Xenopus tropicalis: one gene and its partners. The protein of the gene in region 3 interacts with the protein of the main gene of each other region in a pairwise test. Links are inferred from orthologs where the notes say so. Each region holds a gene or a part of one and is shown on either strand. Other genes may lie near its edges.

Region 1 (4,114 bases), on a different chromosome or scaffold from region 3:
AAAAGAACCCCACTTAGTTCATTTTGAAAACCCAAGCTAATTTATACTGCACAAATAAAGAAATCCGACAAAAAAGTAACTACAAAATAATTTATTAAGTAGACATTCCACAACATTCTTAAGTGACCTATATACAACATACACACGCTCCAGCTTTGTTCCCTATTCAAGAACTTTTTGCTCGTTTGCTTTTGGCCTGTCGGACTTCAGCTATCAGATCTTTCAAATACTGGATCTCTTTTGTTAACGAATCTACTTTTTCTCTAAGGGTATCATTTTTTCCCTCTAGTTCTCTGCACTCTCCAGATATTAACTCTTGCTCTGCTCTTTTCTTCTGTCTGTAGCGAGTGGCTGCTGTTTTGTTCTGCTCCATTTTCTTTTTCTTCTTGTCTACTCTGGGCTGCCCTCCAGCTACTTTCACCTTCGCCATCACATCTCTATCCTTACAGGGAAGATCATAAGGTTTGGGTCTCTCAGAGACTGGGGACTCTAGGGAGGACTGAGGACTACTATAGCATTCTACAGTTGATGGACTCTGCTGAGGGGATTCCAAGTAGGAGGGGCTCATGCTGATTCCACTATCATTATCAGAGGAATCTTCCTTCTCACATTTAAGTATCTCTAGAGTATATGTTGCAGAGGACTTTTTCTCATCCTCTGCAACATCTACCTCACTACCTACATCCAAGATGAAGGAATGGTCTGGGCTAGAGGAGAGAGAGGCTGTCAAATCTGGGCTAAATGGGGCAACCTGATCAGCATCCAGTGGGGACTCTGGAAGAGAGACAGGTTCAGGTGATGGCACAAAGTGGCCAATCACTGCTGCATGAGGTGGGTCCTCTAGGAAATCACATGAGTCTTCCAACGTGGATGTTAGCTCATCTGGTGAGATAGTGGATTCCAGATCTTCCAACCCAAACAGGGAGTCTAAATCAAATTCCTTCAGATCCATCTTTTCCACCATCCAATCCATGCCGGAGAAGGCGTCCCCTAATAAAGAACAAAGAAGGCTCAGAAAGCAAAGCAACAAATTTCTATCATCTCATAAGCTAAGTTTTACAATCTTTCCACTTAAAATGCCCATTAGCCATTGAACAAATATTTTAACAAATCTATTCCAGTAATGTGGCTGCAAAGAGGTGCTTCAAGCAAAATACATGAATATTCTATTATACAGAAGAGAGACTGAACCCTTTGAAAGCCAGTTTACTTACCATGAAAACTGCCTAAAGATTCAACATAAGGCAGCAGGTCAGAGACGCCATCCTTAGCCTTGTCGCTGGAGAACCCTTGCGATAGGAGGTACCCGGGCACCTCAAATTCATCCTCCAAGAGACCCAAACTCTTTTCAGCCGCCAAAAACGACTGGTTGAAGGGGGACAGAAGGTCCCCCAACAGCATCTCGTCGCTTAACAAACTCATCTTTCTGTAGGATCACGAATTCGACTGGTGATGACAATTTTGAGCTTTCTTCCTCGTATACAGCAATGCTGCTGTGGGATGCCTGGAGAAGCCTGCATAATAAAAGCAAATATTAAGAACATTATTAAGAAAAACATGCTTGTTCTTCACAATGCTTCTTCACAAGAGCAGTATTATATTCTAGTCTTCTCTTCCCTCATGACCAAATATGGGCACCTTCCCTCCGGCCCCACCCACACCCGGTGATTCACAAAGCTGATCAGCAGCCATTTCACAAGTTAACCATCTGGTTTGTTCTCCACCCTGGTATGGATGCCATTTTAGCATCAAACCCCTTTAAATACAAATTGCTAAACCATCCAAACCATGTCCTAAACAAATGAAGTCACCTTCCTCACATAAGATCATTGTTGAATGCTACATTTTATTGTTAAGCACAACACTAACTGAAAATACATTACTAATTTTCAATGCCATCTGGAGCGCTGTTATGAGAGATTCCCCTATGCATACAAGGGAAACAGCTGTCTCTAGAGAGCAAGTCTAAATCTGCCTGGGGAGAGTCTCATTTCAAAGCACACCCATTAAGAATTCCCAAGCCACACAGGAGCTAGAAATACCACTAAAGGAGATCAAACCCACTGTGACATTGAAACATTTTAGAGAGTCCCCCATTCAACAAACTGATTAAGGCAATAGCTACAATTCCTAGTGGAATTCGTTTAACCCTATGGACACCACCCAGGTTACAAAAGCAGCAAGTTAATAGCTTCAATAATTTAAACCGTAAACACAAGATGCAAGTTCAGGAAATCTGCATTTGTAAGAAAACCCAAAGGTCCCTTTGTGGCCCTAATGAATGAGATGTATATACTGATAATTGTCACTCCAGCAGCCGCACAATATGGCTGATAGCTATTGTCTACCTGCTGTACATACATCGTACCCTAGGGGGCGCCAGAGTCGAGTCTGCCAAGGACAAGAGCCACATGGCAAGACACATAAGAACATTTACGTTCGATCTACCGCTACATTACCCCAGACATTCCTTCCTGCCCCGTTTTATATTAATACTCCTGCATTTCAAGCAATTTCCCACCCCCCACACACACACACTTAACACCTCGCCATGTAGTACATGACCCAGTAGGGATACTTACGCCATGGCTGTGCCGTTGCCTGGTGCTGCGGGCGCCGCTGGGAGCTGCTGCCTCGCTATGGCCGGGGGAGAGGGGAGCCGCAGGCCTGTGCTGCCGCTATAGCGCCATGGCTGTCCGCTGGTTATTGCGGCGCCGGACTGAAGAAATCACTGTTGGAACCTGCTACAGCAGAAGCGTCGCGTCCTCAAACCTTAGTATTTAGTTAACAAAAAAGACCCAGCGACAGCAAACTACGTTCCCTCTTTCATTCCAAGCTGCAGACTGACGTGGCGGGCGATTTACCGCCCCTTTATATAGACTCGTGGTTCCGCCCCGTGTATCCGTCCGCTCTGTAGTCTCTTCTTTTGTAGCGTCGCTCTGACATGTGATCTGACGGCAACGTGTGCCTCCGCTCCAGGAACTATACTGTGTAATGCAATTATAAATGGATCAATAGGGTTCTAACAGAATAAGATTCATCGCGGAATAAATGTGTGCGTGGTGTTTATTAGAGTAAACGAAGGCAATATTTTAGTTCATTGTTTGATACACTGTAGTGCTCTTGTACGAATTTCTGCGTACGCCAGGCCAGGGCAAGACCCAGACATTGTACTTCAAAGAGGACAATGTGTCAGTGTCACCGACGTAGAAAGTAGTGTCAGTCGCCCGATACAAATGAAAACCATTTCGGTCATTAGTATAATAATCCATGTTTGAGTGACTGGCGATAGACAGACGAACAGGCCTGATAGATTTTTATTATACGTTAAATATAACATTTTATCAACACCCCCTGCTTTGCCACAGTCTATGAAAGAGGCAAGGGGTAAATACCACCAATACGGATAATAAGCACTTGGGGCAAATATTATGGCGTTCCCCCGAAGTAACCAAGAAATAAAACTCCTGACACCACTTTTTCACTTTATTTATATTGGCTAATTAAGCATTATAGACATAAACGAAAAGGGCGCGCTAGTTTTAATTAATTCATTTGGTGTGTCACGCGTGTTCCTGGCATTGCCCCTCCCCACTGTTATGGAAACAAACCCACGTCCCACTCCCACATTATCCCCCCCCACTCTGCCCGCCCTGCCACCAAATGGTGAATCCGCCCAGAGACGCTTTCATATCACGAAGCCAACGCGTGTACAGCTGCCGTTGATTGGTTGGCCCAGGCAGCGCCCAATCCCTACACGCCGCGCTATTGGCTGAAAGCGAATGAGCCCTCTGAATCACGCAGTGGGCACGCAAAGCTGCTGCACCAGAGTGAGGCGGATGGGCGGGGCGCCGGCGCTGGAATGTGAGGAGAATCGCTGATGGGAACTTGGGAGCGTGTCCTGGCGCTGCCATATTTGTCTCTTCCTGCTCGTTTTGTAGCTTCGCTGAAGTAAAGTGTATACACTATAAAGAGCATCTGTTGTTGGAGCATTCCTGAGCCCACATGTTCGTTGTAAAGTCAGCCCCTGTAACATTACAAATTAAGTGGGAGCCATTTGGTGTTTTAAAGGAGTATGAAGTATGTTGTGACAGTTCTGGACTATACCATGTTA
Region 2 (4,194 bases), on a different chromosome or scaffold from region 3:
AGCTCTCCTCTGTTAGCCCTTGTATGCCTTAGCTCTCCTCTGTTAGCCCCTCGTATGCCTTAGCTCTCCTCTGTTAGCCCCTCGTATGCCTTAGCTCTCCTCTGTTAGCCCCTGGTCTGCCCTAGCTCTCCTCTGTTAGCCCTCGTATGCCTTAGCTCTCCTCTGTTAGCCCCTCGTATGCCTTAGCTCTCCTCTGTTAGCCCCTCGTATGCCTTAGCTCTCCTCTGTTAGCCCCTCGTATGCCTTAGCTCTCCTCTGTTAGCCCCTCGTATGCCTTAGCTCTCCTCTGTTAGCCCCTCGTATGCCTTAGCTCTCCCACCAGCCCACTTGCCAGCCCAGCCTGCCCGGTGCCTTTCTGGGCTGCCTTACTCTGCTGTGACTTAGTTTCACAAAACTACACCAGGGCAGTTACCAATAGCAACCAATCAGCAATCTGTTTTATCCAGTCTACTACATGTGAAGCATTAAAACATTGATCTGATTGGTTTTAGACCTATGCTAGTGCAGTTTAGCGCCTTCATTAGTAAATCACCCCCACCCTTTCTTCTGTGGTCCCCTCCTTCTCTTTGTCCTGTGTCTTCTCTCACCTCTCTAAAACTGTCTGTATCTCCCCAATGTCACCCCCATTTCCAGAACTGTGTCTTCTTCCCTCTCTTGATCCATTCTTCCTTTTCTCTGTATTCTCTCCAGACTCTCGTACCCCTCTCTCCCTGCCCTCTGTCTCCTTTCTCCCCTCTCCTTTCCTGTCTCTCTTTTCCCACAAATGCGTCTCTCTCTCTCTGTGCCGTCTCTCTCTCTCTGTGCCGCCTCTCTCTCTCTGTGCCGTCTCTCTCTCTCTGTGCCATCTCTCCTCTCCAGTTCTCAGTATCTCTCTCCCCTTTCCCTGTCTCTTCTCTCCTCTCTTTCTTCCTGGTCTCTGTCTGTATTATTATTAAGATGTATTTATAAAATGGCAACATATTTCACAGCGCTGTACAATAAATGGGTGTATACGTTAAACATACAAGAAATCATACAAAAACAAGCTCTCCCCAAAAGAGCTTACAATCTTCCCCCCGCCTCCTCCCCTCAGAGTAGCCCTATGGCCCCACACCATGTGAATAAGCGGTATCCAGCTGGAAGGGCTGCACTGAGTGCATTTGTGTCTCCATGATGTGCTAGACCTGTCTCCCTCCCCTCTCTCAGTCCTCCCTCCCCTTCACACTTATGGCCCGGAAGAAAACCCAACCCTGCAGGAAGCAGAAGTTCCTCCTCCTCTAGCTGTCTGTGTATTCCCCCCCATCCAGAAATCCTGTCGTTCCCCCCTCCCCAGCCTTTGCCGTGGAGAGGGGGCGACCCCGGAGAAGAGAAGGGAGAGGAGGTGCAAAATGTGAGCAATGACAAGAGGGCAACTGGGAGAGAGGGAAGGGGAGAGGGGCAGAAAGGACGGAGAGGAGGGGAGGGGTGGGGGGAAGTGACAGATGCAGACAGACAGATGTGTGAGCAGGCACAGACACACACACACACAGCTCCACTGCACTGGCACATAATTACACACACACACACACACACTCTCACCTGCAGTCATAGCAACACACAGACACAAATATTGTCACACACCCAGACTGTCACACAGACACCCACGCTGTCACACACACCCAGACTGTCACACAGACACCGACGCTGTCACACACACCCAGACTGTCACACAGACACCCACGCTGTCATACACACCCAGACTGTCACACAGACACCCACGCTGTCATACACACCCAGACTGTCACAAAGACACCCACGCCGTCATATTTACATTACACTTCCAGACTGATATACAGGCACCCAGTCTGTTACACAGACATCCATAGACTCCTACAGAAACCCACACACATAGAGACACCCAGCCTGTCACACAGACATCCATAGACACCTACAGAAACCCACACTCATAGAGACACCCAGCCTGTCACACAGACATCCATAGACACCTACAGAAACCCACACACATAGAGACACCCAGCCTGTCACACAGACATCCATAGACACCTACAGAAACCCACACTCATAGAGACACCAGGCCTGTCACACAGACATCTATAGACACCTACAGAAACCCACACACATAGAGACACCCAGCCTGTCACACAGACATCCATAGACACCTACAGAAACCCACACTCATAGAGACACCCAGCCTGTCACACAGACATCTATAGACACCTACAGAAACCCACACACATAGAGACACCCAGCCTGTCACACAGACATCCATAGACACCTACAGAAACCCACTCTCATAGAGACACCCAGCCTGTTACACAGACATCCATAGACTCCTACAGAAACCCACACACATAGAGACACCCAGCCTGTCACATAGACATCCATAGACACCTACAGAAACCCACTCTCATAGAGACACCCAGCCTGTTACACAGACATCCATAGACTCCTACAGAAACCCACACTCATAGAGACACCCAGACTGATACATAGATGGCTAGGCAGACAGACACCCAGCCTGGCGTGTAGACAACCAGATTATATCACAAGACCACCGCAAACTGACCTACAGACGCTTAGACTGCTATTCTGAGGATGCAATAGACACCTGGATTTTTTTGCCAACACCAAGATTGGGGTAGTCCATTTAACATACAGACAGCCGGATGGCATACAGACATCAAAACTGGTAAAAAGACCTCTAGACTATTATGCAGACAGGCAGACAGGCAGACAAACGGACTAGCAACCATACAGGCATGCAGACTGTAGACTGGCAGAGATAGCCACATTGTGTAGATACAAGTTGGTATATTAGTCAATAGGTGCAACTGTTTGTATCAAGCCTGCAGTACAGACAAAGGACGTATACAATTAATATATATATACTGTATATATAGCCCCAGACACGTAGTGCAATCATGCAGTTATACAATGGGCACTACCAAGCTTGGCCTTCTCCTTCCTGGCACCACTGCACTGGCACACGGTACAAATACTAACACAAGTGACAGTGGATCAGGGCCTGGGTTTGTAGACATTGGGGTCAAGTTAGAAGTCATAAATGAATGACCCAAAATTCTCTCCTTCAGTTCCAAGATGGCGTCCGATCTGGGCAGCAGCCTCACCTCCATAGACTGGCTTCCACAGCTCACAATCCAGGCGGCCATGAAGGGCTCCCAACAAAACAACGCAGGGCGTAAGGGCCCAGGATCCCCCACAGACCCCAGTGCCATGCTGAGCAAGGAGGAAGCTGCAGCGCACCGTGATGGGAAGCCCCCTTACAGCTACGCCAACCTCATCCAGTACGCCATCAATTCTGCTCCAGCCAAACGCATGACCCTCAGTGAGATTTACCGCTGGATCTGTGACAACTTCCCATATTATCGCAATGCTGGCGTGGGCTGGAAGGTGAGAGCAGGAAGGGGTTCCATTTAATGTGGGTCAGTAGTCTCTGTGGGGGTTGGTGGGAGTGACTGAATGTCAGGGGCAGCTCTGATTATACATATTTTAAGGGTATACAAGCAAAAGTGATGGGTTCCAGTTAAACCATTCAGTTATACAGGTTATTTTTTTCCATTTGAGCTGTTAGGGTATACAGATGATCCCCCCATTCCAGCTATTTTGGTGTACAGGCAATGGGTTATTATTATTATTATTTATATAGCGCCATCAATTTATGCTGCGCTTTACAGAATAGAGGGGTACAAAAGACAGAACAGTTAACATGTACATATAAACAATTCACAAAAATGGTTTGCGGTTATATTGGATGAGGATCGGAGACACCAAGGGGAGGGCCCTGCTCGCAAGAGCTTACATTCTAAAAGGGAGGGCTGAGACATAAGGTCAGGGTAACTAGCATGGCATTAGAGTTTATGTAGGTGTGTAAAGTGACAGTGCGGAGTGAGAGGTGAAAACCAGTGGTTATTGAATGTTTGGGGGGTTTAGGTTATAGGCTTAAGTGAAAAGGTGAGTTTTAAGAGACCGTTTAAAGGCTTGGAGAGTCTGGCGGTGCCTAATGGGACGGGGAAGAGTGTTCCAGAGGATGGGTGCAGCGTGTGAGAAGTCCTGGATGTGAGAGTGAGAGGAGGTGATGAGTGAGAAGGAGGTCATGTGTACAGTAAAGGTTACAGCTGGGGGTGTACTTGGGGATAAGGGTGGTTATATAGAGGGGTGAAGCACCAGTGAGTGCTTTGAAGGAGAGTACAACAA
Region 3 (4,168 bases):
AGCCAACACCACATAAGTTGGACACCAAAGAACAGGTTGGCAGATAAATGAAAACACTTAGTGCAGACAGTTTGCAATGTGTAGTTCAGCTACGGTAAGGCTAATTCCCGTTTGATAGTAGCAGTAATCTATGGATGCTTTAGGTAGCAAAGGGGGCAAAATAATATCCATAAAGCCTGGATTACACAGATGATTATATGCGTGTGACCTAATCTGCAGCTACTGAACATAAAGAAAAAATGCCAATGAGGAAACCAGTTTGTGCCAGCTATGAATATCTGTAGGCCACATACAGACCTGCAGCTGACACAGCACGTTTCAGTACATATAGCGGCGACTGCAATGTTCCAGCAGATTGTTAGTGTTCTGTCACAGCCAATATCAGTAAATCTGTTATACATTCCTATGGTTGATCTGTGGCTGCACCACACTGTAAACTGAGAGGCCATCTGCCTGGTGGTCAGTACTAACACAATACACCACATGTCAACCACTGTGTAACCACTCATTTGTGTATTCCTTGTGAGAGCCACACTACACACTAAAGATATGAGCGCCATGACCAACTGCAACAGTCACAGCTCATCACCAGGGTATACGAGGTCTAAAAGAATTTAGAGGAACGTCTTACCTTTGCATCCCAGTCTTTGTTCAGGTAATAAATGCAGGTGATACAACGTCCGTCTCCCGTTGGATTGTCCACATGGCGCACATATCCAGCACCGTTGCCAGGATAACATGCTACCATGGCCTGAGAAGTGAATAGGCACGGATTAACATTTCTCAGTAAATAGATATACAGCAGTGAATTGACATAAATACCAGTACATGGCAGCACATGCAATGCATTAGTATTGTCACAATTGCGACTTTTACTGAATTCATGTGGGCGGCTCAATAACAAATGCAGACCTAAATAAAGGGTATCAGTGTTCCCTAAAATGTTGTCATTCAGGAGTTGCTTGTGCAAAAACTATGTTTAACCCCCATCAGTGACAAAACGTTCACAGGGATAAATATCCATAGCTGGCTTTGACTTGTAAGTGACTGCCAACACCAGAGAGCTGTGGCACTGGAGGGGTTAATGCAAGATGTACGTGCAGACCATAAGGTAGTTGGGCACGCCCCTAACCCCACCCCAGTCCTGGTAAACAGGGCTCTAAGGCCTGCTGTCACACATTTCTCTAGGACCCTACAGCAAATGCTAAATTAAAGGGCCAAGTTGCATATCAAGAAATCATAAAATAAATTGGTTGAATGGGGTCAATAGGATGTTTCTCTATTTCCGTGCCCATACCTGACCACAGCTGTGATGGAATTCCACATGTCACCGACTCTTATATAAGGGTACATGGAACAAATGGAACGAATAAGACTTGGCAAGGGATGAGAAGAGAATAGGGGCCTGTGGTTTATTGTATTTTTTTTTTTTTTTTTTTATTAAAATGGAAATTTCAGTTTTTAGGACATGCAAGCAAGCTAATACGTGGCATATGCTGAAGGTGCAGGGTGGAGGCATACAAAGCCATATGTTTTGTGTAACTAAAGGTTAAAAAAACAGCTTAACACAGCCAGTAGGATTGGGTTCCATTTGGAGCACAGTCTGTTGGCGGAGGGGGGGATACAGCCAACTGATCACAATGTAAATTCTACCAGTAGATCCTCTTGTTGGGGGATTGAAACAGGTCCATGCATGGCTTCTCTGCATGTCTGAGTATCTCAGGTAGGTCATACCCCTACCTTAAGAGCATTCCAGCAACAGACGGAGCAGGAGGCTTTGTGCGCCCTTTTATTGAGATCTGCTACCTCTGATAAATTCAGGGGCAGGAGCCTTGAAATGTGGGATTTCTAAAATGTTGCAATGTGAAATAATCTACACTACTACCTGCTCAGTCGGTATGCTGGCCTTAGGCTTCACTGTTAGTCCCCAGCTTATAAAGGGGGGAAGCCTAAGACCAAACACAGGAAAAGATGCAGAGAGCCTCACCTTGGACCTTTCTTTCACATAGTATTGGCCAAGTCGGTTGCCACAGAGCATCACCAGTCGGTCAATAACTGACAAAACCAGTCCGATGGCCTCGCATCCTTCTTCTGTCCCGGCGACCCAAGCAATCTTGTCACCTCTCAGGTGTTTCTTGGAGACTCCTTGCAGGTGCCCGGCCAGCTGCCCATCCTTCAGCGCCCCGTCCTGGTACAATCGCCTGACTTTCTCCAGCACACGGTTCCCTATCTCCTCCCCTAGGAAGTTGTCCAAATAGCAGTATCCAGAGGCGAGCAAGCGAGGCACGACCCGCTCCAGCGCCAGCTTCTCCAGGTCCAGAGCTGGGCTGTGCATGAGGGGCATGTCCGAGAACACTACTGGGGGAGATCCTGGTGGCATAGGGGACTCAGGACCTCCAACAGGGACTTGCACAGCAAAACTGAGAAAAAGAGAGCAAAGTGAAATAAAAGGCACCTACAGCCAAGCTGGCAGCCCAGCAATGAGGGGCCACAGTGCCCAGATGCAGGGTGAGCAGCTCCACTCTATGAGGTGCCTATATGCTCGCATACAGTGGAAATACTCTGCCCCCTAGTAACTGGAAGGGCTCAGTCTTGTCCCTATGGGGGTATAAACAGGCAGCAGTGACTGGGCTGTACATAAGCAGCAGCAGCTTCACCCCCCCTATCCCACACACCTATAGTATAGCCCCGGCCGGCGGTGTGAGCACTCCGTGCGAGTATGAGAGTGAGGCACAGGAATATGTGTGTATATTTATATTGCCCAGTCCCTGCCCCCGCCGCTGCCGCTAATACCTCTCTCTCTCTACGTGCGGGATGAGTTGTTTCCACTCTCTGGGCGTGGCTTCCTATGCGGTTTCAAACCCCAGCAGTTCAGCCCTGCCGCTCTCTACCAATCACTGCCGTGCATGGGCGGGGCCCGCAGCGCACAGGGGGTGGGAATAGAAAACACGTGCGAGGTGGACACACGGAACTGAGAGCCGATTGGCTAGCTTTGCCTGGAGGCGGCTTCCGGTAGCTAGGAGACGGCGTTTTGAGGCGTGCCGCCCGCCATTGAGGAATCTGAGCTGAGCATGTAGCCTGTTACTGGAGAGTGCTGAGTGTAGTAAACACAGGAGGGGAGGGGGAGAGAAGTGGACGGGGGGCGAAGGAGGAAATGGAGAGGGTGGTGGAAAAAAAGGGAAGGCATGGGTATAAATATGTATGGTGTGGCAAGCGTCGGCAAAATAAGGTAGTGGGTTGTACGAGAGAGAGGGGCAACATGTAGTTTGTGGCTAAACTACAAGCGTCTATTTCAGCCGCCTGTCTGATGGGGGCTGATGGGATATGTAGTTAAACCACAATGTATGGGACTAGGAAGTAATTATGAAATATGCCAATTGCTAGATACTGTAGTTGGTGGGGTTGTTGGCACCTGGCTGGTAATGATATTTGATGCCAATGGTATTAAAAGAAAACAATATGTGAACATTGTTGATGAAATATATATGTTTATATATATCGAACCAAGGGAGGCACACCGCTTCAATCCTTGTCCCGGGTGTACGGTAAAAGAGTTTAAATATTGAGAAAAAGACCAGCAACACTGCATCTATTGCAAACAATCAATTATATATTGAAAAATACATGAAAATATATGTTTATATATTTATATAATATAATTGTAAGCATTGCCCCTGGGATCATGCTATTCACAGTGACACAAACAAGCCAAGGCACACATACACATTAGGCCCCATCAGCCAATGAATGGGCACAGTTCTGTCTTTTACTCCCAAACTTCTTCCTGTTACAGTTAACGCTGCATTGTTTCCTGTCAGGTGATATGTGAGACCGCAGACCATCACAAAATGGTGGGTCAAGGGAAAAGACCTAAAAGAGCAATATTCACTGATATACATATATATTTCAGTAAGGTAAGATTCTTTAATAGGCCACTTATGTGATATAAACTATCTGTTGGTTATGCTTTTATATTGGGGATGTAGTTTTCCTTTAATAAAGATGATGTCCATTTTTTTTCCAGAAAAAGTGACAAGCGTAAAAGTGGGCAAAATGGCATACAAAAAAAAGCTTGCATCCAGTATTCTAGTGGTGTGTGCCAATTTGCCCATTACACCTACTTTGGTGCAGCGTGCGCTGGTGCAAGGGATATCTATACAGACTGTAA

What was found.
Region 1: the proteins of egln3 (region 3) and atf4 interact in a two-hybrid assay, tested with the Homo sapiens proteins (2 studies listed by BioGRID). The link is inferred for Xenopus tropicalis from reciprocal best matches to the Homo sapiens genes EGLN3 and ATF4.
Region 2: the proteins of egln3 (region 3) and foxj2 interact in binary tests that used the Homo sapiens proteins (3 or more experiments, as listed by UniProt). The two-hybrid records come from large-scale screens. The link is inferred for Xenopus tropicalis from reciprocal best matches to the Homo sapiens genes EGLN3 and FOXJ2.

The regions. Positions count from the first base shown.
Region 1 is NC_030680.2:121,049,454-121,053,567, reverse strand, and holds atf4 (cyclic AMP-dependent transcription factor ATF-4), read right to left. Parts: upstream 2,837-4,114; 5' UTR 2,583-2,836; intron 1,515-2,582; 5' UTR 1,402-1,514; coding exon 1,215-1,401; intron 991-1,214; coding exon 167-990; 3' UTR 77-166; downstream 1-76. UniProt on the Homo sapiens protein: Transcription factor that binds the cAMP response element (CRE) (consensus: 5'-GTGACGT[AC][AG]-3') and displays two biological functions, as regulator of metabolic and redox processes under normal cellular conditions, and as master transcription factor during integrated stress response (ISR).
Region 2 is NC_030683.2:9,117,664-9,121,857, reverse strand, and holds the start of foxj2 (forkhead box protein J2), read left to right. Parts: upstream 1-1,285; 5' UTR 1,286-1,369; intron 1,370-2,068; exon of another isoform or gene 2,069-2,645; coding exon of another isoform or gene 2,646-2,668; intron 2,669-3,071; coding exon of another isoform or gene 3,072-3,078; coding exon 3,079-3,390; intron 3,391-4,194.
Region 3 is NC_030684.2:113,846,446-113,850,613, forward strand, and holds the start of egln3 (egl nine homolog 3), read right to left. Parts: upstream 2,822-4,168; 5' UTR 2,381-2,821; coding exon 1,988-2,380; intron 752-1,987; coding exon 632-751; intron 1-631. UniProt on the Homo sapiens protein: Prolyl hydroxylase that mediates hydroxylation of proline residues in target proteins, such as PKM, TELO2, ATF4 and HIF1A. Target proteins are preferentially recognized via a LXXLAP motif.